Linked DNA regions of Rhinolophus ferrumequinum. The protein of the gene in region 1 purifies or fractionates together with the protein of each later gene. This does not show direct contact. Links are inferred from orthologs where the notes say so. Each region holds a gene or a part of one and is shown in the gene's direction. Other genes may lie near its edges.

Region 1 (9,609 bases):
GATTAACCTAGATGCACAACACAGCAAGTCAGTTATAAATCACACAGCGTAAAATAAACTGTGGCAGTAAATTGAAAATTATGTTCTCTTTTTCTCCACTTAGCTGTGAAAATATTTTAACAAGTTGGCATCAGGGTTTGCAACTTTTACATCTGTTGTTTCTTGTCAGGATTATCTTTTAGCATTTTAAGATGTGTTTCTTTGAAAAGTGTGGCTAGTCAGAAAAATGTGGTATTGTACATGTGAAACACTTTAAAGGGTGTGGGGGGGAAGCCTCTAGGAGTCACGGTGGTTTCAGGATACTCACTCTACTTTTAAGTAGGAGAAGCTATTTCACGGGTGTCTGAAAAACACTTGGCCTGTCCTGAAATCCTTTTCTTATTCAAAAAGATTGTGTAGTGTAGGTTGGCTCAGATGGTCTGGATGATGTTTCATGATACTAGTAAGCTCTAAGCACAAGTTTCATTGCCCTTATCAATGTCTGTTATTTCAACTACAAGGTTCCAGTTGATGTGGTGTTAAGGGCACTGCCTATTCTTTACGAACTCTCATTTTCTCTCTCCCCTTTCATCCCCACGTTGAGTAACTTTATGAAAGGTTTGGAGGTGGAACAAGGAATGGATCATATTGTAGATTTTTGCTTTTCTGCTTTCTTCTCAACTCCTATTTTCATTATTCTGAGTACAATGGAATATGGTGTCTTTAAGGTTATGAATACTATGTATGAAATAGTTTCTTTATGTAGAAATTATATTCTACATTCTTTCCCCTGCCCCATGCCCCCAACTCACTCTTTCTTTGAGGCTGGAATGTATTTCCTTTGTCTTCATGTTGAAATACTTTAACATTATTCATTATTCCCCTCCTCCTCCCAATTTAATAATCCCTCATACCAAGTCTGGCAGGTATGTATGATGAAGTCCCATCCCCTCGTTCTCTCCCCAATACTTTGGGTACTAAATTTTCTGAGCAATGCTTTTTCTTTAAAAAATTTTCCTCTTGGAGGAGGTGTTTTGGTTATAAATACCTTCAAAGAGTAAACAAAATTCCTAGAGGATAAAAAGGCAGAGTCCTGGTGATTGTGTGTAAAGCTAAATGACAAGAACCAGAGCTAGATTAAGTACAGCACTATAATTTCTTAGAGAGTATGCAAATGGACATTGGGCCAATGGTGACAGTATTTATGATTAAAACAAACTTGCCTTTAGTTATATTAGCTAAAGAAATATAACTCTAGAAAGCAGGTATATGGGAGGTAATACAGATTTTTTTTTTTAATTTATATGAGGCAATATTGGCGAACAGTGTGTTTTTCCAGGACCCACCAGCTCCAGGTCAAGTCATTGTTTTCACTCTAGCTGTGGAAGGCGCAGCTCACTGGCCCATGTGGGAATCGAACCAGCGACCTTGGTATTATGAGCATTGTGCTCTAACCAACTGAGCCAACCGGCTGCCCAATACACATTTCTTAATAGATCGAAAATTAAATGGGTTTGTAGGAAATTAACTAAGGAACTAAGGAATGTAAAGAGTTTTTGTACTGAAATTTAACATGCTCTTTGTTTTTCGATCTTATTAAAGGGAGGCTAAATTAAAATACCATTCGTTTCATTTCTAGAACTAATTGTGTTAGGGACTACTCAAGACACCATATAGATTAGTGCAGTTGAAATTGAACTTCAACGTCATTATCTCTTTCTCTGCCTCCTTGCTTTCTTTTGAAGACTGATCCTTCAGCAAGTATTCAGTTTCAGTTGTTCCAGATGATTTCATCCAAAGGTAGGTCTCTATTGTCTGACTTCCTAGACTAGGTCAGTTCCCCTTGCTTTATTTTTGTCTCTTCCCCCGGCACCTGGTCTTTCCCCTTCCCTACATCCCTCTCACTTGTTGACTCTTTCTTTCTAATCTGTAAGCTGTATACAAAGGCAAGGACATGGTATATATTTTTTCAATCATTTTATTTTCAGCTTTTGTTAAGTCCTTCTGTTTTAGGTGCTCTTGTAAACATAAAGTTCATTTTTGTTTGTTTCTTTTTTAACAAAAACTTGACCATTTCTGTCTTTTAACTCTAACTGGCAAGTTTAGTCCACTTATGTTTGTGGTGATTATTGACAGCTGGTCTTATTTATCTCCTCCAGTTTCCATTGCTACTGTTATTTCTATGCTTTTTTCCCCCTCTCTTTGTGCCCTTTCTTTGGGGGTTGAGTATTTGCTTGTTCTTTTTTTTCCCAGTATTATTTTACATTAGTTTCAGGAGTACCGTGTTTCCCTGAAAACAAGATCTACCCCGAAAATAAGCCCCAGTTAAGACTGTCAACTAGACGGATGCATTTAGTACGTTATGATGATGTTCCAGAAGAAGATGACATGACTGTATTTGAATAAATGTAGATTGCTGTACATGAAAAAAATAAGACATCCCCTGAAAATACACCCTAATGCATCTTTTGGAGCAAAAATTAATATAAGACCCAGTCTTATTTTGGGGGAAATACAGTAGTATTTGTTTCTTCTTATTTTGTTTTATCTCCTTTATTAGTTTGGAAGTTGGCACTTTCGTTCTTTTCTTTTAGTGGTTACTCTCAAAATTTTACTTGTGTACTTAACAAAATGTAACATTAATAGCTGAACCTCCCAGTGGTAAGAGGGCCCTAGAACATTTTAACTTCAGTTACTTCCTCCTTATGTTTAAGCAGTTATTGTCCAGCATTTTATTTCTGTCTTTTTTTTTCAACTCTACAAACTGAGCGTTAAAAATTTTTATACAGATAATATTTAGATTTATCTACATGTTTACCAGTAAATTTGCTCACTATTTCTTGTATCTAGGCTGATTACTTATCCTTTTAGTTTCTCTGATTATTCTCTCCTAGGGGACTATCTCACATTTCCTCCTATCTCTTCAAACCTTCAGCACTTCCTCCACAATCCTTGCTCACAGCTGTTGACCATGCTTCCTACTTAACAGAAGATAGAATCAGAAGAGACGTTTCAAAAATTGTCTCCACTACACTTACCTACGTTCTAGCACCAGTGTTCATATATTCTTCCTTTCCTGTCTTTGTTGGATAACCTATCTGTGCTCCAGCATTCTAATCCCTCTACTTAAGCACTAAATCCCATCTCCTTTCACTTATTGAAGATATTTTTTATTCTCCTTTCTCATCCTGTATCATCAGTTTTTCTACCTAATTATATCATTTTTATCAGCTTTCAACATAGTATACTTTCCTCCATATTGAATTAAAACCCTTCCTCAACTCACAGCTCCCTCTTGTACAGCAAAATTCTTTGAAAGAGTTGTATGGTATGTACTAGTTCCCTAATTTTCCCCCTGGGCTACCTTGATCTTGAGCTCATGCTTTCATCCTTAAAAAAAAAAAAAAAAAGAAAAATCCAGAAAACGGCAGGGACAGTGTCTGATTCATTCAATTGCTGTAACACAGTGGTGACTGGTATACAATATGTTTATAATTATTTGTTAAGTTAATTGACTTGACTGTCTTATCTCTCTTAGGAGAATTTGCATTCTCCCTAATTTAAAAAATAAAACTGTTGATTGAATTGAAACGGAATAAAATTAGTTTCATGAGGCCAAGAGGTAAGACTTCAAAAGAAAAATACAGAAAATCATTCTCAGGAATTTCAAGAATCAAGCGAGATATGTATTTATTTTTGTCCTGGTAGCTTCCTTAATCCCTCTTCAGCAAAACTGTGTAGATAACCTAAGTACAACTTTCCTTGCCCTTAATTTTTGTTATGTCAGCTGCAAGTTCCAGTTGATTTCTCTTTCTCCTTCCCCCACCAAAGTTTAGGAATTTCACTGAAGTTAAGGCAGGCCCTGGATAGTATACGGTTGAAAAAGTCTCACATGTGAAAATCCAGATTTATAAAACAATATGGGGGAACGGTAACTCAATTAAAAAGGTTTACTAAATTCTTTTAAATAGTAAGCTACCCTACTCTAGTCTACAGTATTGTTTTAACTGACAAGAAAGTGCAACTTTTCAAAACACAACTAAACATTGTAACAGTAGAACTTTTTTTCTGAATGTTGAAAGAAACAACAAGGGATGACATAGGAGGGAACACACAGGAACAGCCCATCTCGTATCCCACTAATGTCTCCTTTCCAACGTTGCTATTACTTTCCAGTGCTTTCTGTGTCATTAAGTTACTCCAAACTTTAAGATCAATGGGAAAAAAATGAGAGCCCTGCCCTTTGCCCTTTTCCTTTTTAGATATAGGCATGGAAGAAGATCAGCTCCGGGTTGCACGACTTCCACCAAGCACATTCAGCAATTGTCCAAGTTAGTATTTCCAGACACTTCCAGTCTCCCTTGACCTTGAAAAAGTAGGGAAAAAGTGAAATTGGCTTACTTTGATTGCCAGTTATCCAGTGGTGCTGTGGGTATTTGTATCCCATACAACGGGTGGAGGTGAGGGTCACGAACCGGGGATTTTTGTGCCATTTTGAGTCCCTCAAAGTCCTTAATTTCAATTAGTAGGGAAAACGAAACTCTTATGGGAAGCGGGAGTGGGAGAGTTGGGTACAAGTTAATCAACAAGAACATTCCCGGCACAGTGTTCAACAGTAGAGGGCACAATACGCACTGTCCACTGCCAGGTGCTGGATGCAAGGAGGGGCACAACGTAAGGATCTCTGGGGCTTGTAGTTCGCCCTGTTTCCCTTGAGCATGACCGTCTCCGCACTAGCACTACAACTCCCAGAGTGCACCGCACGCCTCTTTTGTCGGCCTCCCCTTCTGTGAGGCCCGCGCTGGAACCTCGGGGGAAACGGCTCCCCCGCCCCGCCCTCGTACGCACGCGTCAGTTTGTTTACTCTGAAGCCCCGCCTCCCCTCCGACCTCCAGCTCTCCCCACTCCTCCCAGGAATGCCGTCATGCTAGCAATGCATATTCATAAGGCTCACGTGGAGCTCCCGCCCTGTCCGCCTCCCGCCTTCCCGCTCCCGGCGCGTGATTAATATTCAATGAGCCCAGCCTCGCGGCTGGTTCGCTGGCGTGAGGTGTGGGAGCGGGCGGGGCCTGTGCGCGGGAGCCCTCGACCCGGGCGGGGAGGGCGTGTTGAGAGGGGGGGCGGTGGCGGCGAGGCGGGCGCGCGGGATGGAACACCGAGACACCGACGGAATGCTCCGAATTGCCACATAATCCCCTGGAACGGCCGCGCCGAACGCCATTGGCTTCTCCCTTCTCCCCGCGCCACCGCCGCCGTCTCCCACCTTCGCCTCACCGCCTCCCTCTCTGCCCGCTGCCTCCGGAGCTGGGGGGGAAGCTCGGAGCCCCACTGCAATGGAGCCCGCCGCCGCGTCTACGGCGCAGCGACTCCCAGAAACCAGCAGGGAGGACCGAGCTCCGGCTCCGGCGGCGGCCGCAGCGGCAGCGGCGGCGGCAGCGGCGGCGGCGGCAGCGGCGGCCGCGGCAGCTCTGGCGGCGGCGGCGGCCGGGGACGGCCGGAGCCCAGAGCCCGCGCTGACCCCGGCGGCCCCGAGCACCGGGGCGCGGGAAGAGGCCCCCCGCGAGGCGCAGCCGGGGCCGCTGCCGGGCAGAGTGGGAGGCACCGGTCGCAGGAGGAGGCGCGGCGCGCCCCAGCCCACCGCCGGCGGGGCTGCCCCGGTGTCCGGGGCCGGCAGCGGCGCCAACTCCCTCCTGCTGAGGAGAGGGAGGCTGAAGAGGAATCTGTCCTCAACTGCTGCCGCCTCGTCGTCGTCGTCCTCCTCGTCGTCGTCGTCGTCCTCGGCCGCTGCCGCCTCGCACTCCCCCGGCAGCGCCGGCCTCTCCGCCTCCTGCTCGGCCTCGGCGTCGCTGTGCACCCGGAGCCTGGACAGGAAGACGCTGCTCCTGAAGCACCGGCAGATGCTGCAGCTGCAGCCGTCGGACCGGGACTGGGTGAGGCACCAGCTCCAGCGCGGCTGCCTGCACGTCTTCGATCGCCACATGGCCTCGACCTACCTGCGCCCGGTGCTCTGCACACTGGACACCACGGCCGGCGAGGTGGCCGCCCGCCTGCTGCAGGTGGGCCACAAAGGCGGCGGCGTGGTGAAGGTGCTGGGCAAGGGGCCCCCCGATGCCGGCCCCCGGCTCGCACCCGGCGAGCCGCGGGACCTGCGGCCGCCCCCCCGGAACAGCGCGCTGGCCGCCGTCGGGGCCCCGCCGCGCGCGCCTCCTGCCGACCTGCCGCTGCCCGGTGACCCCGGCGGGTGGGCGCTCGGCTCCTCCCGCGCCAGCCCCGCGCCCTCGGACTCCAGCCCGGGTGAGCCAGGCGCCGCGCGGCCCCTGGACAGCGCGGCCGCGGGCCGGGCTTCGGATACCGAGAGCTTCAGCCTGAGCCCCAGCGTCGAGAGCGTGTCGGACCGGCTGGACCCCTATAGCAGCGGCGGTGGCTCTTCGTCGTCGTCCGAGGAGCTCGAGGCCGATCCAGCCGCGCCGGGAGTTCCGGGCCAGCCCCGCCTGCCCGGCCGCTCAGTGCAGCCCCGGGCCGGAGCAGGCGCCCGGCCGCCTTCCCCGACGGCCTCCCCGCCTCTGCCGCAGCCAAAAGCCCAGAGGCTCGTCGACGGCCCGGACGGGGCTGCCCGCGATTGGCCTCGGGAGGAAAAGGAGGCAGCAGCCGCGGCCCCTGGCCGCCCCCAGCTCCCCCCGGGTGGGAACCCGGCGACCGCGGAGAAGGCGCCTCCGCCGCCCACCTTGTACGTGCAGCTCCACGGAGAGACCACCCGGCGCCTGGAGGCGGACGAGAAGCCTTTGCAGATTCAAAATGACTACCTCTTCCAGCTGGGCTTTGGGGAGTTATGGAGGGTGCAGGAGGAAGGCATGGACTCAGAGATTGGCTGCCTTATCCGCTTCTACGCAGGTAAGGAAATCACCTGGACTTGGCCGGGGAGGGGGGGTGAAAAGTGTCAACTCATCATGTTCAGAGGTGGGAGTCAGGTGGGCGGTCTGTTGGCCCGACCCCAGAATAGTCGCAGGTCCTAGGCAGTGTTTGTGACTTTACAGTTTTCACGGGTGATCTGTGTAATACTCAACTGAGCAATTATTCGTGCCGATCGTTTGGTCAGTCTTGAGGGACTCAGGTTGGGAAGCAACTCAGAGGTTGGGAGGGGTTGGTAGAACCCCCGGGAAGTACAGGAAGCAGGTATTCAAGAGGCAGTAGTACCTTCAACAATGAACCTGCTGCCCTCAGGCCTCCCTCAGGGCAGTTGGGGATTTCAGGTAAACTATCACGTGTACTTAATACCGATAGAGGAAAATGGCTAACAAAAACGCTCTAGAACACTCTCCCTACACTTGACTGCCCTCCTAACCCTAATACTGCCCCCCCCCCAGCTCCTTACTTGTCAAATTGGTGCACGTTCAGCTCTCTTTGTCATGCTTATTTGCCCACTTACCCCTCGTTAGAGACCTAACAGATAGGATCCTTTTTAGATAACTTTTTCCCAGCGCTTTTTTGCTTTATTACAATTTCCTCTCCAAGTTTGATTCTTGCATCAAAAGTGATTTTGCCTATTTTGTTTCTCACGTTCAGTCTTTATAGCCAGAACTGACCATTGTAGTGTGATTTACAATGGGGAATCACAGTAAGACTTTAAGTGCTATCTCTTGAAATGTGATCTAAAGTCCTCGTTCTTTTTCAGTTCTAGATTAAAATTTTTTAAAAAATTCTATTCTTTATTCCAGATTTTTTTGAGATACAATTGACAGATCAAATTCTTGACTGGGGTGAATAATGTTCTCTTGGATGAGAGATTTGGCTGGTGCATAATTAGGGAGCTATAGATTCTGGTTGTTATATTTGAGCTTTATAAGTTGGTTACATCCTTTCTCCCTCTGGTTTCAAGAATTATGTTATTAGTTATAAGGAATTTTATAAAGGTAGCATAACAAAATAAATCAGAGTTGTATCTTCCCCAACTTTACTATTCTAGGTTGTAGGTGATAGTGGAAAAATAATCACACTTGTAATTAATCTGTACCCATTCTTTCTATTTAGTATGTTCTTGGTCCAACTTATGTCCTAGTGGCAGTGTAGTCAGTTTGAATGAAGAAATCTTTACTCCCACATTGAAATATGCAAGACAAATAAATAGCATTCCTGATGAGATGTTCCTCTGAATTTCACTGAAGTTTTTCTGTAATTCAGGTGGATTTCTGATGGAGTTTTGCCTTATAAAGAAAACCATATCATAATACAATAGCATTTGCAGTTTCATTTGAAGATGGTATCCCAACTGGATGACATGCCTTTAAAAGTTTATGGTCTAGGAAATAGGTGATTTTGTTTTTTATGTAGGAGCAACAACTCTATCCTTTTCTCCTACAGCTCATCTAATTTGTAAAATTACAAAAGCATTAAATGATAATCACACATGGAATGGGAATATTTTGTTAACATTGAAGTGATAAATACCCTCATAACCAGACTTAATTCATGGAAGGAAATGTGTATATATATATATATATATGTATATATATATATATATATATACACACACATTTAACAGTATTGGACATATTTTATATGGAAAGAGCTCTGTATCCCCTGTTTTCCTCACCACTAGATATGTTTATCATGATAAATGCTAATAGGAAAGTTTTGGGTGTCATGGTCATGAAATTTAAATCTTTGATTCCCCTTGATTGTCTCTTCAAGTGTATCTAAAATATTCTAAGTGAATGATATACAGTTTTTAACATCTCAATATAAAAGTGGCAAAGTATCTTTCTGGTTAAATCTTAAATTTCTGGTGTGGTCATTTTAATCTTTTTTTTGTTTTTTATGAATAGCAGTAATTGTTACTTCATTCTGAACTTACTTGCTTTATTTCTGTATACACAACATAAATATTTACATGCCTCTGTGTATATGCTCATAAAAATACTTAATATGAAGCCACACACAGTATCCAACCTGTTCTCGAAGATGAAGGCAGGGTACAGGTAGGTGTCCTAGAAGGAAGATGCCTGATTATTATAAAGATGTCTGATTGCTTATTTTGTTTTTTTATACAAAGTTGAGCTTGTTTTAAGCCTGTATGAATAGGTTAATATCAAATGTCTCTTTGTTGATATTCATTTGCTATAGAACAAAATTGAGGGAAAAAGAACTTTCCCAGGAAGTTTAGTTATTGATGAACAAAAAGGCCTTGCTATAAGGTTGTGTCACTTACTATGGAACCATTGTCAGGACTTCACATGTAGTGGAAGTTTGCACCAAGCTGGAGTAGATTTCCTAGAAATTATCCGTGTACTGCAATGGAATGTAGGACACCCAACTGGAAAGTGTTACATTTTGGTAGTAATGATTTTCCTGAGGAAGAAGAGAATTAATGTTTGTTTTAGATGACACCCTTTTGTATACCACATATGTTTTTATCATTTTACATGTAACTTACTCTTAAATTTATTGCTGCATATCTTTTTGTTTATACATGTGCTTGGAATTAAGGATAGATTAGGAAGCTGCCTTTTGAATACCTTCCTGTATTTAACTTGAACTTGTTATCGGATGTCTATGTAGTTTGTCTAGTCAGCTGTGTTTTTTTGAGAAGTTGGTGTTTAGCCGAGAACTTTCATTCTCTTGAGGGTCACCTTT
Region 2 (9,964 bases), on another chromosome or scaffold:
CATATTTCTACTTGATTTTTCACTGAGCTATTATATATTGACTTCCCAATAAAGAAGATAAGCTTTCTTGTGCACACTCCTCTGCACATTCACCTTGCATGTACACTGTTAGTTCTTTCATTCTCTTTATACAGTTATAATTTACTTATCCTGCTCAATCAGCTGGATGTCATTGACGTAATAGATTAACATGATGTTCTGCAGGATGTCCAGAAGGTCCAGATGTCTTCAAACTATTTTATGACAGAGGGCAGGAATGTTAACATCGCCCTGGGCCAAACTGTAAATGTGAACTTTTGTCTGTTTCATGGGAATGCCAACTGTTTCTGATCCTTTCTTAAAACTAGAACAGACAAGAATGCATTCGCTAAATTAACGATGTGTATCAAGTACCCGAAGCTGTATTAATCTGTTCTAGCAAATATACTGCATCTGGCACAACAGCTGCCATCAGGTCTACTAATTGGTAAGCTTGCCATAATCTACTGTCATCCTTCAGGGCCCATCTATGTTTTGCAGGGACACATGTGAGTTAAATGGAGATATGATGGGAATCAGCACTCTGTATCTTTTAAATGCATAAGAGTGGCACTAATTTCTGCCATCCTCTCCTGAGATACAATATCGTTTTGATTTCCTGTGCCATGTTTGCCTGGGGAGCGGAGGCAATTTCAGAGGCTTCCACTTGGCCTTCCCCACTATGATAGCTTCTACTCCACAGGCAAAGGTCCCAATGGGTTTCTACCAGTTGCCAAATAGATCAATCCCATTATATATTTGAGGACAGGGGAAATGACTGTTGGGTGGGCCACAGACCCACTCTGAGCATGACTTTGCCACGACCCCACTTAATAACTGGCCTCTCTCTGTCCCCACTCTAACAGAGGACCATGATGATATTTCTGATCTCTGGATACCAATGTCAATTTACCAATGTCTAAACAGTACTTTAAATGTCTGGATATCCCCATTTCCCCAAGGTACAATTACCCAAATAAATGGCCAAAGATACTTTGGGGATGGACTAGGGAAATAATTACCATTTATACTTGTTCAAGTATGTGGCAGGGTCCTTCCTTCTGGGGACCTCTACAATCAATGGGTTCCAGGTCTATACAATGGCTCAGGTGTGGAAACTGATTAAGGAATTGGGACTTTATGGGGTGACAGACCTTAGCCTCCTGGTCATCAGCTCTTGATTTTTTTTCTGCTGATACAAACTAATAAAACCTCTGTTGGCTGCCTATCTATATTTCCCCTAAGAACACCATTTTCTGTCAACCATTTCCGTAACTGTGTGTGTCAGGTCCCCTGTGTAACTGTGTATTACACAGTTATAACAATTGTAACCTGGCATCTGGTAGTACAGCACTGTCACCTGGTCTCTATTATTGTGGGGTCCTGTCATCCCCACCGTACTAGTGAGCCAAATTTTGGGAGGCCTCTGCTACATTCATCTGTGATTTGTGGAAAGCCACACATACTCCCCAAGTTCCTGGTGGTACACGCTGGTAGGTCCTGCATTTTCTTTGGGAGAATAGTCCTTTACCTCTATCAGGTACAGCACCTCCCAACTACATTATGCTATGACTTAACATTAATTATAGGCATAGTGACCAGAAGGTTATCCATTCATACTGCACATCGCATAACCTTAGAAGACATAGACATATCTCGTTGGCTGAGTGGAAGCATTTGGGCAGACTCAGATGTTGCAAGATGGAAAACTGGTGACACTTGTCCAATTGTAAGATATTTGTAGTATGAAAGGAAATAACTGGGAAACTTTATAAACTTGGTATTTACTGGCTTTTTCTTGCCACTTCCAGCAAAGTTCTATGGGAAATGAACTCAGGCCAGAATTGGCCCATCGGAAGGTAGAGATGGAAAGGAACAATTTTGCTAAGAGGGGAACTCTGTCTGTAATCTAAGTGGATTAAGAGTCCCATAATTTTGGGCTTTAAAAGACTGAAAAAAACCCCAAGTATTTCTATACCTCCAAATCAAAGCAAATAGAAACAGTGTCTGTGAACAAAAGCCTTGGAAGGAAATATGCCTGCCACTCAGCCATACTAAACTGACAAAGATGGGATTAAGAATGCTGCCCACCTATTAAATTCCAGTTTCAGATGCCCCCAAGTTAGCTGTCATTAAGGATGACGTAGCTGCTCAGCACAGAGAAGCCAGGAAATAAAAGATAGTCTTTGGGCTTATAAACTTTATCTAGGCAAGAACTGCTGCTGTAATTTCTCCCACATTGAACTGACTGAAAGCAAAACAACAGAAACCCTTTAAATTTTTGCATGAATTATATTGCCAGAGATACACCAAGCTTGATATATGCATCCCCAGGCTTCAGCTGTTGCTACTGATAAGCACAGTTGAGGAGGTGTTTGGTGTTTCTGAAGCAGCATTAGCAAAGTCTCAGTGTCCAGCCGCTAATTAGTTCTGTGGGCCTTGATGGGCAGGATTTAGAACATGTATTGTACTGGTATAGATCAAAGTGGGTACAGTGTGGTTCTGGAGTTGGCAACACAAGCGGCTTTGATTGTGGTGGTTTCCTAGGCAATTGCAGGAGAATGTAGTTCAGAAATCATCATTTCCTGATCATAGAAGAGTCACTGTTCCCTTGGTGGCCTGGTTCTGTAAAGACTTTGGGACTTGTTTCTGAAAAACTAATCTTAGAATCTATTTAATCTTGGTGATGGAAGGAGAACTGACTCCGGGTGGTGAACACACAATGGGATTTATAGATGATGTAATACAGAATTGTACACCTGAAATCTGTGTAATTCTACTAACAATTGTCACCCCAATAAATTAAAAAAAAGGACCATTATAAAAAAAATGAATCTATTTAATCAACACTCAATTTCTTATAAGTATGAAGGATGTACTTATACCACCAGGTGGAAGGGATTCTATTCTCTGCAAATGAACTTTGACTGGTTCTGTAAATTGTACAGGAAGAATAGTGGCTACAGACAATGGGCTCTCAACGGAGATATGAAAACTAGAATTAGGAAAATTAGAATAGGAAATTAGAATTGGTTATCTATCCTAGTAGAATTTGAATGTAGCGATGATTTTGCTAGTATGAGAGTGAGACACTGTCCAGTCCATGGCACAGAAAGGTAAACTAAGAGACTGATGTGTACTTGTATTTTCTAATTTTGTCCTTCTCTATCTTGAGCATCACCATTATGCTGGCCTCAAAATAAGTTTGGGTGCTTTTTCTGTGGCTCTCAAATAGGATTTATCAATCCTTTGAAAGCATGGTTAAAAAAACACTAGTTTTGAGCCTTACCAAGTGATAGTAGCATTAACTTCTCTATAGGCAGTTTAGAAATCACTGTGCATGTCACAGTATTCTTTTTATAAACTCAATGATTCCGAAATTCTAAGTGTCACTCTTAATATGGATTTTTGGGGGATAGCTACTGATTCTAAGGTGGGTAAATTAAGGGGCAGTTATCTTAATTCGGGATTCCTAGCTGGGCAAGGGAAGAGATCATCAATGCCCCGCAGATTTTTTAGAATGAATATTATCATTCTAGGTGATTTCTTCCAGTCTCATGGTTTAAAACACCATTTGGTGACTCCCAGATTTATATCCCCTGATCTAAATTTTCCACTAAGCTCCAAAATTGGTATCTGCTGGCTCAACAGGCATCTCAATCTTAACATCTAAGAACAATGGCTCCTCCCACGAAACCCACTAGACCCCATGTTCCCCATTTTAGCAAGAACCAACCATTATTCAGTTGCTTTGGTTTAAAAAAGAAAATCCTTGTCATTTTAGTCTCTTTTTTTCCTTATATGTCATCGGTAGATCCTGTTGGCTCTCCTTGAAAATATATTCTGAATTCTGCTAGTTCTTCCACTGCTACCACCTTATTCCAAGCCACCATACTTTATTCCCTGGGCTGCTGAAATAGCCTAGCGGACTTTCCTGCTTGCACTTTTGAAGGTCAACACTCTATCCATCCACAAGCAGCCACTTACACAAATCATTCCACTCTCCGGAGTAAAACCATCTAACGACTCCCACCTCCTTACCCTGCTTCATCAGTGCCCCGCAATGTCACTAATCTTATTTCCCACAATCGTCCTTCTCAGGTTCACTGGGCACTAAGCACCCTGGCCTCCTAGCTTCTTTCCCAAATGCCAACCGCCTTAAGCTTCAGGACTTTTCTAACTTGCTGTTTTCTCTGCCTGGATCACCCTTTGCTCAGATTCCTCCAAGGTTCCCTCCACTCTCATTCAGGTCTCTGCTCAAACATCAACTCAGAGGTCTTTCCAGTCTATCCTATCTAAAACTGCACCTTCTTATATCTGCTTTCTCTATCACTCATATTATTTCATGTCATTTTAGTTAATTTTTGTCCCTGTCTAGACTATACAGTTCCTTTAGAGAAGGGATTATATTTCACTCACGCCATATCCCTAGCACCTAGAAAAATGCCTGGCACCTAAAAATAAGGTTGATTAAATCAATTTCGCTTGACCTTATCCTGCTTAACTGCAGCACTTGCGTTGTGAAGTCACCTCACAAAGATAAGCATACAAACACAGAAAGGAAGCAAAACCCAGGTGAGGCCTGCCTCGCCGTTTTTTGAGCCTTTCCCTTGCAGCATCCCGAGCCAGCGCTGGGACTTAAAATGCTATTTCGTTTCCTTCTCCCGCCGGGAAGGGGAAGGGGTAAACTGGAGAAAAGGAGGCGTGTAAGCTGAGAAAAGGAGCCTCAGCTCTACAGTATTCCGCCGCGAATTTACGGTTATCCATGGCAGCGCTTATTTTCATTGGATTGCCTTGGGGCTGAGGCTGCGATTCCGGAGAGAAAAACCCTAGCGCCAACCCACGAGAAAACCGGTCAGCCATTTTCGAAACTAGTCTCCCTGGAAACTCCGCCGATTAGGTACGCAAGAACGTAGGCGGAGCTTATTGTGAGGGCCTCACTCCGGAAACCGCACCCTCGGTGGCATCCCACCGACGAGGATTCGCAAAACGCAGAGCGAGATTTAACAGTCGGCCGCGAAAGCGCGCACTCGAACGCCAATGGGAGCGGAAGGAAGGGAACAACTCCTGAGGAACATTTTGTATATCCAACAATGATTGGCTGGAGCCCCCCTCTCTTCTTCTTGGTATTGGCTGGAATTCATTTCCCCGCCCATTCAGTGGCTTTTGTCTATGTACTTCTGATTGGCTCCTTTGGGCTGGTCGGGGGAGCAAGGTCAGGAGGGAATTGTTCATCACGGATTGGTGGATTTGAGCACCCGGCGGCTCCTTCTCCAGGAAGGAGCCCGTCCCATCTTGTCTCTGTCCCGTCCCCCGACCCGTACGCTTTTCCTTCAACTCGCGCGCACGAATGGTTAAAAAAAAAAAAAAGAAAAGAAAAAAAAGGGGGGTGTGGGGGTGTGAGGTCCAGCCCGCCAGCCAGGCCTCTAGCACCTAGCGCGCGCCCTCAGGAAGGACCCGCGCGAGCTGCCCGTGACAGTGCCTGCGCTGTTTGAAGCTGCAGAACCCGTTAGGATCTTGGGAAAACTACCGTTCCAGCTGGTTCCGGAGTCCGTGCGTGCCAGGGGTGCGAGTGGCGGTCGCGAGGTGGCTCTTACCTTTCGCGTCTCTGCACCGTGGAGACTAGAACCGGCATCTTCGAAGGACGCCACCTCCAATCGCGGCGCTGGCGCGGGCGGAGGCTAAAACACGGGGGTCCTGAGACTGAGGAAAACGCGCCAAGTTCCCCTCGGTAGTGGAGTGGGAAAGACCCTAGCGGTTCAGGCGCTTCGGCAGTGGGACTACTTCTTGCGCTTCTCACCATCCCGGGGCAGGCGCGGGTGAGCGCCGCTCCGGGGATGTAGTTGGTGCCGGCGCACCGCAGGACCGAGCGGCGGCCCGGGTTCCCGCTTTTGAGAGCGAATGGTCACTCCCCCGCGGGGAGGGCGATCCGACCAGCTTTTCCACGGGTCGGGGACTCCGCGGGCTCGGGGCAAGATCTCATCTGTCGCACTTACTCTCATCCCTATTCGACTCACCGGCGTCACCGCCGCGGACCTCGCTTTGGGCCATGACCAGGTACGGAGGGCCCGGGGAGGAGGGGTCGGTGCCGGCCGCCGAGACAAGTTGGGCCGGCTCCCGAGTGGGGCTGCTCTGGGACACCGGCGTCGGCGCCTCGGGGAAGACCCCGGGGCTGGACCGGTGCTGCGTTCTTGCAGAGCTGCCGAGCCCTCCGGGCACCGGGCGGGGCTCCCTCTTTGCGGCGGCTGGGAGTCGAGGAGGCAGGTGCGGACTGGGCGTAAATAGGCCAACCCCACGGGTGTGGGGGCCCAGGAGCCGTAGTTCGGGCTAAGGACGCCACCGGCCAGCCTGCCGCTGTGCCCAGGGCAGCGTCTGACAGGCACCGACTTCAGCACCATCTAGTCAAATTTCACTTTCTTTTGCGTGCGTAGAGTGCTGCAGGGTAGGGAGAAGAAATGTTTTCACTCACGTTGTCCTGTGTAGGTAATTGCTGAATTTTACCGCACAGTTTAACTTTTAATTTTTCTGTATTTAGAACGAACGCCACGTGTCTTAAACGTTTGAAGAGGATGTTATCCTTAATTCTTTTGCCTTTTTCGTGAAAAATTGTAATTGAGTCGTGTCATTTTGTAAAGCACTTAAAACTAGTGGGACAGGATTCACGCCGTCATTTATTCACACTGTCATTTATTAATGTTCGATTCACTGTTTTTTGCGAAATTTGATTTAGACTGCAGAAGAAACATTTTTTATGTAACAACCCCCAGTTATAAGAAGCAAGACATAGTAATATAGCTTAATATACGGCACCTGGTAAAATGTTATATTCTCAGTTTAATCATTGCTTTGAGGGAGCCAGGAGGGTTGGTTATTGATTAGGATTGATGGAATCCGTTATTTTAGCTGCTTGGTAAGTTTTTCTTCTATTGACTTAAGTCCGGTTACTCTGTCTCTTAGATAATCCAGTTTCCATCATTTATTAGAATTGGCTCCCAAGAAAAACCGCTTACAAGAATCATTAATGCTTAGAGATGCCTTACAATTTAACGCAGGCTGGTTTATCATTCATGATAGCTTTTTATCAGTAGCATTTAAGTGGCCCGGAGAGTAAATTGAGTTGGAGAAGGAATGGGGAAATTGGTCAGCTTTCCAGTTATTCCTGAGTTGAGTATCAAAAATGTGGTTTCACTGCTGAGTTCAGTGCTGTGAATTCCCAGATTAGAGGCAGCCTAGTGAAATACTTAGGACAGAATTTGAGTGAATTTTGTTAGTTTATGGTATTACTCTGTATCTACATTTGAAAGTGATTGTTGAGCTTTTTGGGTTCTCATAATACTGCAGTCAGATAATTTTCCCCCAGATAGCCTAAAAAAAAAAAAAAATAGAACTGATGTATAAAATAACTACCATAAATACTATCATTTTTTTTTATCCAAAAGTTTTACTTTAAAATTGGGAAGAAGGGTTGCAAATGGTAAACCAAATCATCCTTTTTTCCTACACAAAACATTGTTTTAAGAAATCTAGTTTAAAAGATTTTTGGAAAATCAGTATATTGTGGTTTCTAGTGCATAAGAATTTTATATACACAAAGTGTAGCAATTTTTCTTATACAGAAGTGCATCACTCTCTCAACTTTCATTATTTTATTTTCACTCGTTTTGTTATACCACTACCAGATCTATGCCTTTTCTTGTATGCAAATTATACTTTAAAGAGCCTCTTTGAGACTATTTCATTTATTCATATAATTAGAAAAGGCCTTAGAAGGAAGACTCATTCATTTCCAGCATCCTTTGATTCCCATTCATCCTTCTGTTTCCCTTCTACTTTATAGAGATGGTAGTTGCTCAGTATTTTCTGAATGAATAAATTATAATAAAAATTAAGGTTTTACTCTTTAATACTTTAGAGTAGGTCTACTAAAATGGGGTATTTGGTGATGTAACCCTTAATCTAATAGGCTCAAGTTAGTTCAGTATCTTACTTTTTGTCGTGTAAGAAAGTTAAGGACAATGACAAACAATAAAACATTGACTGTTATTCCCAGGTATTAGGTTTTTGTTTTTTTTTAATTGGGGAATATTGGGAGAACAGTGTGTTTTTCCAAAATGTCAAGTCGTTTTTCAATCTAGTTGTGGAGGACACAGCTCATTGGCCCATGTGGGAATCGAACTGGCAATCTTGCTGTTAAGAGCTTGTGCTCTAACCAACTGAGCCATCCAGGCGCCCTAGGTTTTCAAATATTAAGTTCTAATTAGTATTATTCCTTGGTAAACTTATTTTCAAAATTGATTTTATTGTCTACAGCTGATAACAAAGGAAACCTCTGAAAACTAATGAAACCTTTTTTTGTGATTAGCAGATATGATTGGTGATTATATCGTCCCTCTATAAATTAATTCTTGTCAACTCTTTGGGATTTGAAGAGAAAATGCCTGGTGTCATACCTAGTGAAAGTAATGGGCTTTCGAAAGGTAGTCCATCGAAGAAAAACAGACTTTCCTTGAAGTTTTTTCAGAAAAAGGAAACTAAGAGAGCCTTGGATTTCACAGATTCTCAAGAAAATGAAGAAAAAGCTTCTGAATATAGAGGATCTGAAATGTATGTATCTTAAGTATATTTCTGTACTTTTAAAATTCCACATCAATGAAGAAGCAGTCAACTTGGTTTGATACTTCAAGACATTCTGACTTGATAGTCCACAGGGGCAAAAAAGCAAACCAAGAAAACACACATTTGTGTAACAAGTCTAGCAGTATATAGTAGAAACAGCAAAACTGGTGGTTCCTCTCAGGGATCATCACATCCATGTTAACTCATTCACATTGTATTCAGCCAATTAGACTAACTTGGAGAAATATTTATTGACTAAAATTGTTTATTAATTTAAACTTGATTGTAGTACAACACATTTTATGTAAGGGTGAAGAAATAGGTGTTTTTCTTTTTCTGTTTTTTCTTTTTTCTTTTTTTTTGGTTCAGAAGACTTGACAGTTACCTGAGATATTTAAACTTTGTAGACATATCTAGCGTATGAATTATCAAAGCTGTTGGGGCATACAGATTGTATTTCACATAAACTTAAAAATAAATGCTTTTGATGCAAATCCTTCAGTGAATGAAATCAGAACAAAACGTAGTACTTTATTCCACCAGTAGTTGGTCTAGTTGGAGTCTACGCTAGCTTCCTATTCAACAGATAGGTACTCTGCTCTATGACTAATGTGGATTTGGTTTCATGTGTAATTTCCTAATATTAACCAATAATCATTTTAGGAGATTGTGTGTGAACCTTTTCTTTACCAGCATTCATGCCTATACACACTTTGAGGTGCTATAGTAATAGCTAGCAGCTATAAAGTAAAGAATTCTTTGATGACCTACTGTTTGTTAAAGTCAGGTACCATGTTTCTAATTCTAGTACTGTGTTTCCCCAAAACTAAGACCTAGCTGGATAATCAGCTCTAATGTGTCTTAGAGCTGATTGTCTGGCTAGGTCTTTATTTTTGGGGAAACACAGTACTAGAATTAGAAACTTGGACAATTCCTTTTTAAGTGAGGGATAGCTATATAATTATGTTCATAGACTCTCTTTTCTCTTATTAATAGAATCTGACAGATAGTGCAGCTTTTCCTAAATATTGTCATAATCGGTTATTCCCAAATTTCTATTGTTAAACTACAGCTGACCCCTGAACAACAGGCTTTTATGTGCTGGTGTTTTTCAGTAAATACCATAAATGTATCTTCTCTTACGATTTTGGTATTTTCTTTCTCTGGGTTTACTGTAAGAATACAGTGTATAATGCATATAACGTTCAAAGTATTTGATAATCAACTGTTTTTGTTATTGGTAAGGCTTCTGGTCAACAGTAGGCTATGAGCAGTTAAGTTTTTGGGGAGTCAAAAGCTATACAGGGATTTTTCAACCATGCGTGGGGGG
Region 3 (10,153 bases), on another chromosome or scaffold:
TAGTCTTTTTTCTCACCTCCCTTTCACTTAACAACCCATTCCAGTCTGTATTCTATCCTAACCATTCCATGCAAAGTGTCTTTGAGAGAATTCCAAGGCCTCTTGAGTAATAGGCTCTGGTGAGATAATACATAAATTGGGGCAAATTACTTAAACTTTCTGAGCCTCAACTTTCTCGTCTCTAAAATGGGGATTATAATACTACTGCCTTCCTCATAGGGTTGTCAGAAGGATTCATTTTAAAGCCTTATTCAAGAATCTGTTGCTACTAGTAGTATTTACCTTCCTTGATCTCTTAGCTGTCAGATAGAATACATTTGACTCTTCCCTCCATCTTGAAATACTCTTTGGCTTTGTGATGTTGCATGTTTCCTTGCTTCTACACTTTAGAAGCTCTGTATTAGTTTTCTTTGGCTCCTTGTCTGCCACCTGATCCTTGCATGGTGGAGTTCTTTCTGACTATGCCCTTGTCTATCCTCATTCTATATACTCTCACTAGGCAATTGCATCCATAACTGCATGTCCTCCATTATCTTCTATACATTAATTAATTACTCTTAGATTTATCTCCAGTCCAGACATTTCTTCTGAGCCTAGACCAGTGCTTGATATAACTATTCAGGTGTTTCATGGTTATTGCAAACTCAACACCTCTGAAACCAAACTCACTTCTTCCTAACCACCTATATTTGAACCTTCTCCTTCAGCATTCCCTATCATAAAAAATGACATTCCTTTATATTCTAGTCAGAATCTTGGGACTCATCTTTGACTCACACTTGTTGCTAATCCCAGTCAATCACCAAATTCAGCTGACTGCCTCCAAAAACAAATCTTCAATTTGTCCACTTCTTGCTCCCCTTCCCCCCTGCTCCCCATTGCCATTCCCAGGCTACTGACAACTCTGGGATTCTCACCACAGATTTCTAACTGACCTCACCTAGAGTGCTTTTGCTTTCCTTCAAACCCTATTTCCCCATATGGTGGCCAGCTAGACTAATCTCTTCTTTCAGTTAATCAAAATGTATGAGCAAATAAAATCTAATCATGTTCCAACCGAGCTTAATAATCCTTCCACAGCATTTTAATTGGCACTCATAATAAGCCAATTGTTCCAAAGGCTCAGGGAATCTTAACAACCCATAAATACACTCATGATTTTAGATGCAGCTTCTCTGTTGTAGGAACTCTAAATTGATGCTCATACCAAAGTTAGCTTATCCTTATTTCATACTAATTGCAGGCAAAATGGAGCAAGGACATTCATAAACAATGCCAAGGAGCACCACCAATGAACTCGAGCAGTGCAAGTGCTGCGACTGCCTTCTTTTATCTTGGGATCACCAGTGCCACACAGAGCGTCTAGCACAAAGTATGTCTTTAGTAAGTATTTGTTCGATGCATGATGAAAAAGGAAAAAGGCTGTCACAAAGTTCCTCATAAAATTGAAATATAATCCACAGATACCAGTTTGGTTTCAAACTCAAGTCTACAGCCAGCAAAATGTTTTTCCCTCAAACAGCGAAATGTTTACTAGCATTTGCATATCAAGTGAGCTGCAATAACCTATATGACAATAAGGAAAAAAGGAAAGGAATGAATGTGCCAGTCTCAGTGCCTGAGACCAGAGGAGATTTTTAAAAATTCACATGACAAGGTTCTTTTCCTCCAGGAGCTTCCAGGCCACTTGGAAAGGCAATTGTTCAGATACTTAATATCTGAATTCTTGGCTCCTCCTATGGACAAGGCGCTGTGTCTTTCTTTAGATGTAAAATGAGTAAAACCAGGCCTGTCTCTTCATGTCTGATGAGGGTTGGGAAATAAACATTAACCAAATAGTCACATGCACAATAATTATAGCAGCTATCACTTATAGTGGTTCATATATGCCAGGTATATTTTTAGTATTTTACATAAACTTATGCAATCACACTCTGAGGGGTACTCTTATTGTCTTCATTTTGTAGATAAATTGTGGCTAGAGAGGTTAAAAAACCTTGCTCCAGGTGATACAGCTAGTTCAGGCAGCCTGGATCCAGGGTTCATTTTTCAACCACCCACTCTACTGCCTCCATGCTGTGTGCTACATGGCATAAACATATTTATAAATATAAGGTCTTTGAAGGAAAGATGGATGGTGCTATAAGAACATATAACAAGGGCATCTCATCTTGTCTCCAGTCATCGGAAGGCTGAGTGGCCTCCAGTCATCGGAAGGCTAAGCAAAGAGGGGAAGCAGGAGGGAGACAGACAGGAAACTGGTAACAATAGAAGGGAGAGTATGGAACCATCTGAATATGGGAGTTCTTTCGTGGTTGTGGTGTGGGAGAGCAATCTGGGATGGCCTCACGGAGGAGGCAAAACTATAGGAGGAAGACTTCCAAAGATCAGTTTAGTGAGTAGAGAAGAGAGGAAAAGAAAACATCATGAATTTGGAATGAGCCTAATGCATTTGGGGGGACAGGGAGACACTGGTTATTAGGATTCTTTCAGTTGTGTGTGACAGACACTCAATTTGAATGGGCCAAAGAAAACAAAGACTTTACTGACTTGAGTTGCTAGAGTCCAGGATATAGATCTAGCAGCTAGTGGATAAATGATGTGGTTAGGGTCTCTTTTCCATTCCTCAGCTTCATTTTTTTTCTACACTGGTTTCATTCTCAGGCAGTGGAAAGATGGCAGCTCTAGATTTTATCCTATCAGCTCAACAAACTCAGGAAGGGGAGTACCTCCTCTCCAAAAAACCCAGGGCTGATCCTCATTGGCTCAGTTTATATTACATTCTCCTTGCTGAAGCAATTACTGTGGCTGGGCAATCAGGCCACATTGGCCAGGCCTGGATCACGTGCCTTACTCTGGAGCCAGGAGGTGACTTAGCCACACCTGAACCTTAGGTTCTGGGAATGGGAGAGGAGTTCCCCAAAGTAGAATCTGGACCTGGGCAGGCAAAAACAGAGACCACCACCACCACAAGTGGTTGGCTGGAGCATTGCTCTTCACACTTCATATGCAGTCTCATTTAGTAGGTCTGGGATGCAATCTGAGAATCTGCACTTCTCACAGGCTCCCAGGTGACGCCAGTGCTGCTGCTTCACGGACCACACTTTGTGTAGCAAGAGGCATACTACCTGGAGTGACTGCCTCCCTCAGATTCATTCAAGCTGTTTAGTGCTAGCCTCCCATCCTTCCATTTGCCTACTTTTCCCAGTTCTATCTCTATACCTTCATACAAGCTAGTCCCTATACATGAAATGCTTTGCCTCAAAGTTCTTTCATTAGCTTGTCAACATTTTCATCATTTTACCTCTTATCATTTGCAAGTGTTTCCTTACTGAGTGAAGCCGAAGTTACAATTCTTCTTCAACTGATGCCTTTTTCAATTTAGACCTGTGAATACCAATCTAGTAGTGTAAACATGTATTTAATTATTCATGAGCCTGAGAAGATCTGCTGTGTTCAATTGATTTGTTGTGTATGTAATTCACTGCTTGAGTTTCAATCTGGATGTTTGTCTACATTGAACACTTCACTTTTAGGCTACACACTGTTAAAAGGCACGCAAAAGACTCTTTTAACTTGTTCATATAGCACTCAGTCATCAGATGATGTTCAATTTTCATTATGTCAGTGGGGTTTTCTGTCCCGTGGACTTTGCAATCCATTGTGTCAATGCCGGCAGAATGCTGAACTCTATGACGGTATAAAATTTCCATTATCATTTTAAGGCTTTGGATTAATGCCTTTATGGTGGAATGTCTGTGAAATTGAGTCCCGAGTCCTGAGTTTGGGCCCTGAAGGTTCTCCTGAACTTGTTTGGCCATTTTCCTTAAGTCTTTAAACCTTTCTAGGTCTGTTATCCAACTGGCCATAGTTTGGGTATTTTGCTCCCTTCTCCTCTCCCAGCCTGCTTAGCACACCAGCTACATTTGTAACATTTGGCAACAGGAGGCAGATTTGATCCTCTAGGTCTTATTTTACTGATCTGCAAAAGGCGATGAGGATAATAGCATCTATCACCTGATAGTCCTGACGGTAACTGAAGATCATGAATGTAAAGAACATCATGACTGACAATGGTAAGAACTCAAAGTTACTGATTATCATCATCAGGATTTGTTTGGAAATAAGATGTAGGTAGAATGACTTAACATATGCAGGAGTTTATTCCTTAAACCCATTGAAATATACACAGCTAACATGACCCCACAAAACTTGAGTCAGTAGTTATTTTGTTTTCACCCTAGTCCTAGGGATATTAGCAATCAATGGTTCTCAAATCTTCGTGTGTAACACTAAATAGATAATGGAGAATAGGATGTGGAATCTTTTCCCAGTATGGTACCCTTGGCTTGGTTAGATGAAAGCTGTCTTCAGTTATATTAATTTCTTCAAATGTCATTACATATATTGGTTTAAGAATTACCATGCGTTTCACTTGTACAACTTTTCGGTTGAAAGCACTGAATTGCAACCTTGTATGTAGAATTGTTTCACACATTTGGAAACGGGCTCCTTTCCACTTCGCATGAACGTATCTGCTAAGTGGTGTAGATTCGCTAGTTGAGCTAGGAGCCACGACCTTTTATGCAGGAAATGTGTCTGAGCCAGCAGAGCAGTCTTCTCAAAACCTAGAGGTTGAGTGCCCAGGAGAGAGGTAGTTTTTTCTTTAAGATGCGTTCAAGGTTGGTTCTTTCCGGATTCAAATCGCTCCTCGGACAGTCCCTACTCCTTGCCCAGAACCCGGACTTGTCCTTTGTACCTGTTAATGTCACAAACTGCCTGAGCGCGTCGCTCTGGCCTCCGCCCAAGACCCAGATTCTTCTCCCCTCGCGGCGCCCTTTACCAGGCAGCCGGCCCACGGCTGGCAAGGGCTTTCTCACACTCGCCTGTTCTGACCCCATTCTGGTCCTCGCCGGTGCCATCTGGCTGTAACCCCAGGGAGAAACTAAAAGTTGGCCTTAGTCACCCCTACCCTTTGCTTTCTCCACCCGCCAAAATATAAAGACCTGGGGCTGCTGCGAGACCGGAGGCAGGAAAGAAAAAGTGAAGCCAGAAAACTACCCCGTGTGGCACCGGCCCTCTCCGCGGCGTCCGTGCCTTGGGCCCGGGCTCCCGCCTCCCCAGCCTGCTGTCGGCCCGAGGCGCGGCCCCTTCCGCCAGGCGGTGCCCAACGCCCAGCGCTGTCCCTGGTTCCCGCCGGCGCCACGGGCCCGGAGGAGGCCGCCGCCGCCGCTGCCGCCGCGGCATCTGGGTCTGCCCCGGGGACCCGCGCGGTGAGGTTGCCGCAGCCGCGCAGGCGAGGGCCTGGGCCGGCATTTCAGTCCAAAGATAGTGAAGCAGAATATAAAAAGGAAAAGAAAAAGGCCGAGCCCGGTGGCCCGGGGCGCGGGCGGCTGGAAGAGGGCGTAGAGGCCCGGGGCCAGGTGCCGGGCCGGCGGGAGGCCGGGCGCACGGAGGCAGCGCGGGGCGCGGGCCGCACGCGGCGCGCTCAGGCGGCCCCTCCTCCTCGCGCCCGCGGCCGCGGCCCAGGCTCCCCCACTCCGCCACTCCCCGCCCTCCGCTCTCCCGCCCGCCCTCCCCGCCTTCCCCGCCCTCCCCGCCTCCGCCTCCTCCCTCCCAGCCTCCCTCTCCCAGCCAAACTGAAAGCCGGACCCCAGGCCGCCTCCCCGCCGCCTCCCCGCCGCCGCCCGGCCTCCCTGCGGGCGCTCCACCATGGACAGTCCTGTTTTCACCTTATAAAGATGGCGGTGCGGGATCGCTGCAACCTTTAGACTAATGACTGTCCGAAACATCGCCTCCATCTGTAATATGGTGAGTGGCCGCCGCCGCCGTTGCCGCCTCGGGGGTCGCGCCCGAGGCGCGGCGAGGCAAAGAAAGGGAAACCCGAGCCGCACACTCGCCTGGCGCCGGGGTGGGGGTGGGGGCGAGGGGCGGCAGGGTCTGCGCCGCGTCGCTCGAAGTTCCCCGCCCCGGGCTGGGCGCGCCGGCCGCAGCCCCTAGAGCCCCCGGGGGAGGGGCCCCGAGCCCCCCTGCCCCGCTCTCTGCACTGGGACCTGGGAACCCGCCCGCTGGTACCCGGCCGCGCCGGGTGCCTCCGCCCTCGGGTTGCGGTGGAAGCGCCTTAGGGGGAGGCCGAACCCGGACGTCCCGGTGGAAGGGCTTGCGGGATAAGCCGGGGGGTGGGGGGTACCCATCCTGTCCTTGCGGTAGATGAAGCCCTGCGGGTCTCTCTGACCGCCCTCTTCACATTTTGAGTTCACTCCTTAAACTGTATTTAAAATGCACTTTCCAAAGGCAATCGCTGTATCTGGAGAAATTTGAAATGTAATAAAGCTATAAAAAAAGTGCAAAATTGTGCTTAGGGAAGTGAATTTCACCTGGTTTGAGAAAGCACGGTAATAGGTCTTAGATGCCTCAGTTTCCCCACCAGTGAAAGAGGGACAAGGTTATATGGCAGTGACATTTGAAGGCCCTGAGAGTGGTGGGACAGGCTGTGGGAGTGGAGGAGGTCTCCGGGGTGATCCGGCCTGATGCGCTGTAGGCTCTGTGTAGGCTGGTGGGTGTAGACACAGCAAGGGAATATCACTGGGCTCTGATGGGGACTGGTTCCAGGGCGGGGTGGTGACTTTAACTTGGGGTTCTCTTACAGCTTTCCCTTGCTTTTCAGTTTCTGCAGGAACAGCTTCCAGCCCTTGAGTCCCCAGGGTGCACCCTGCTGGCACCCCCACTTGTCAGAGCCTTGGGGTGCACAGCTTGCCTCCTGGAGTAAGACATTGCCCTCCTGTGCAGGCTGAAAGAGTGTCTGCTTTGCCTTCCTTCTCCAGGGTCCCCTCGTCCCAGCAAAGCTCCCTTATCTCCAGCTGGAACACGTGTTCTTTTAATGCTAGTTTGGGGAAAACCTCCCTAGTAGCTAATAATACAGGCCCCTAAAGGGAATCTGAGGAGGCTTGATTAGGAAGCCTGGAGGTAAGGTGATCTGGCTGCCCTTCCCCCATCACAGAGCTTTTTAAATCTTCTGTCCCACATTTTGTTGTAAGATTAACACATGGCAGAGAAGCATTAAGGAGCCATGTGTTCGCTCAGGAGTGGAATTGAGACCCACTGGTGCTGGCTTCAGTTTTCAGCACTGTTGGCTGTGGTCACTGCCATGGCCAGCAGAACAAATGCTGGGGCTTCCCAGAGTGATAGCTGCCAAGGTATTGGCACAGGACCAGTTAGATGTGGTGGGTGGATCCTGGAGCATATCCATTTCCTCTCTTTCCCGTCCTTCTCTACGCAGTTGGGTCTCCTGCTCCGTCTTCCTGTGGAGATAATGTTGCCTGGTGCAGTGGAAAGGTGATGCCTTCTAGGTTTCCCTCTATGCTAGACTAGCTCCTGAGGGGCCTGTGAAACCAGAGCAGCTCTAACACTCTTCTTTCATGCCTGCTGGAGTGGCCTCAGGCTTACAGGGCAGTGAGGTGCAGTCCCAGCCCTGGGTGGTGTTCCCGTCCTAAGCTAGTGTGTGGTGACACCTCTCTCTACTGAAGCAGGCTGGAAACTTGAGAGTGAGTAGCGCGTCCCAAGAGGAAGCCAGCCTCCAGCTTTTAAAAATTTATTTATTTCTCTCTCTCTCTATCTATCTATCTATCTACCTACCTACCCTCGGTGCAACTGGGGCTTTTTGGCACATCTGGACAGAATGTCGCAACCTATTCCCAGTAAAACTCAGCCACGGAGACAAGTGGCAGGGAGGACGTGAGAGGAGTGCGCTAGTATTGTCTGGAAAGTTGATACCTCGTAGAATCTTTAAATAGGTACCAAATTTAGGCTCATCACCTAGGTGTGGTGAGGAACCAATAAATAATTCAAAAGTAAGATGTTTTATCTTCTGGTTTGGACATTGTGTCTTGAGCAAGTGATGAAGATTTGGGCTCTCAAGTTAGACTTTCTGGGTTCAAGTCCTGGTTTTAACACATACTAGCTCTTTGTCCTTGAACAAGTTGTTCTTTGTCTTATCTATAAAGACAGGGTGATGATGGTTCCTACCTCCTAGGACTGTTGTATTAAATGAGTTACAAGTACTTATTGAGTGTTAGCTGTTTCCAACATCATTATGTCACCTTCAGTTGTTCAAAGGACAATGGGGAGTATGCCTTCTTGGACTTGATGACAGCAGCCACTAATATAAACAACCCACATGGTCATTTATGCAAACCAAGCCGAGTGACTGTATACAAAGCCTGGGATGGGAATCCATAATCCCGCCCCTTATGAAAGGCTGCTCAGGTCACCCTCGCCCCTCCCAGTCTCACTTCCCACACAGGAAGGCTTGGGGATGAGACTGCTGTCTTTTCACCTGATCAGATGTAAATTTTCATTGGACCTGTCTTTAGAGTCTTCACTCGATGATGAATTGTTTTCAGGTAGGTGGTCTGTGGGTTCCTTCTCACTGTTTAGCTTCTTTCTGGGGCTCTTATTGATCCTTCCCACTCTTAACTCCATTTGGTCCCAGCTGGTTTGAGTAGTTGTTATAAGAGCAAGTGGTGATTGCATTTTTTTAAAGCAGGTCATTTGGCATATTTTAAACAGGCTGATGTATGTGTCCAGAAACGGTGTTAAACGATATCATCTTTCTAGGTAACACTTGAGCAAACCAAGATCTAGCATTGAAAAATGGATTTGTTTCGTCCACCAGACAAGAGAGGACCCAGCAGAGCAGAAACAAAACTTCCATAGCAAATCCTTCATGTGATTGAGAAACACCTTCTCTTCCCCTCATACTTCTTGTGCCAATTTTAGATATAGGGACTTGGAAATATTCACATGTCTTCACTTGTCACCTTCCCCACTGAAGTTTTATTGTGCATGGGAACTTGAATGCTAGCTCCCATTTGTTTTAATTTTACTTCCATGTGAATTCCTGCCATAGTGATTCTTGATCAACTTGCTTAGGGCTTGTCAGCTTAGCTACACAGCATGTCTGGTTCACAGATAGTAAAGCTTGTTTGGCTGGTGTGTTGTAATTTTTAAAATGCACTAGCTGCTACCAAGCATGAGAAAATGTCCCTTGTTGATAATCCTCTGATTTTTTCCAGACCAATGGATTTAGCTTCCTGCGTATTTTTATGACCTTACAAATTGAAGGTTTTTGTGTTTTCATTTTTTTGGCAAGTTTTCTGTTTGAAGAGTTTGAGGAATTTTCTAAAGAGGAAGCATTTGTTAGGAGAAACCAACTGTGCTCCCTAGAAATGTCACTTGGACTAATGCAAATTGGTCTAAATCATCTAATCTTAATTTAGCTTGTTAATAGTGTTACAAGATGTACCATATAGGAAATGCTGTGTGTCAGATAGATTACATTTTTGTCCCCGTAAATGGCCATTTGTTGAGGACCTGCTGTGTCCGTGTTGGCACATCCTATGGACAGGTGCTAAGTAAATAAAGGAGGTGAGTCCCTATCTGCGTGGAACTCAGCAGTTTCTTGTGGGCATGACATTGGTAAAGATGAAATTTTTACTGTAGTGTGGTATCTGCACAGATAAGGGTTGAACAAAATCTCAGAGACGACACAGTGGAAAGACTGATGAACACAGAAGGACATTTCTTTAATATATTTTTTGACCATAGTTTGTATTTTATATGAGGACATGATTATAGTCAGTGTAACTGAGAACTGGAATCTGTACCATTGGGTGTCTCTCCAGTGAAGCCCGAGTCTAAAGCTGACTTTGGACAAATTATATTTCTTGGGATCTTGGTTTTCCTCAACTTGTAAAACTGACATATTGTTTTGTTGTTTTCAAAAGCTTTTCAGTAAGTAGGATTTCTTGGAGTCTTTATAAAAAAAAAGGAGTCTTTATAAAAAAATCTACATCTTTTAATTGTTTAGTGACCACGTGAGTACCTAACTACTTTGTTTAAAACAGTGTCAAACGACCAGATAGTAGGTTAGCATCCAGTGAACAATCCCAGGGTATTATTGGGCACCATCATGAGTGCCAGATTGAATTCTTTTAAATACGCGGCAAGGAAGTCACCTTGATAAGAAGGGAAAGTAAAATTAGTGAAAAACAAAAAGAGGATTTTTATAGAGTTTATTTTGGTAAGTCAGTCACTGACATGAGGCAAATATTTGAGAATCATTAGAAAAAAATTTTAAAAACATTAAAAAGTG

The links.
Region 2: the proteins of PHLPP1 (region 1) and USP1 purify together in Homo sapiens (affinity purification with mass spectrometry; 6 studies listed by BioGRID and IntAct, counting the BioPlex papers as one, with this or other methods). This does not show direct contact. The link is inferred for Rhinolophus ferrumequinum from reciprocal best matches to the Homo sapiens genes PHLPP1 and USP1.
Region 3: the proteins of PHLPP1 (region 1) and USP46 purify together in Homo sapiens (affinity purification with mass spectrometry; 7 studies listed by BioGRID and IntAct, counting the BioPlex papers as one, with this or other methods). This does not show direct contact. The link is inferred for Rhinolophus ferrumequinum from reciprocal best matches to the Homo sapiens genes PHLPP1 and USP46.

Annotation. Positions count from the first base shown.
Region 1 is NC_046302.1:50,043,562-50,053,170, forward strand, and holds the start of PHLPP1 (PH domain leucine-rich repeat-containing protein phosphatase 1), read left to right. Parts: upstream 1-4,976; 5' UTR 4,977-5,312; coding exon 5,313-6,870; intron 6,871-9,609. UniProt on the Homo sapiens protein: Protein phosphatase involved in regulation of Akt and PKC signaling.
Region 2 is NC_046292.1:45,620,156-45,630,119, forward strand, and holds the start of USP1 (ubiquitin carboxyl-terminal hydrolase 1), read left to right. Parts: upstream 1-5,332; 5' UTR 5,333-6,075; intron 6,076-8,380; 5' UTR 8,381-8,452; coding exon 8,453-8,622; intron 8,623-9,964. UniProt on the Homo sapiens protein: Negative regulator of DNA damage repair which specifically deubiquitinates monoubiquitinated FANCD2. Also involved in PCNA-mediated translesion synthesis (TLS) by deubiquitinating monoubiquitinated PCNA.
Region 3 is NC_046288.1:15,424,894-15,435,046, reverse strand, and holds the start of USP46 (ubiquitin carboxyl-terminal hydrolase 46), read left to right. Parts: upstream 1-5,604; 5' UTR 5,605-5,775; coding exon 5,776-5,811; intron 5,812-10,153. UniProt on the Homo sapiens protein: Deubiquitinating enzyme that plays a role in behavior, possibly by regulating GABA action. May act by mediating the deubiquitination of GAD1/GAD67.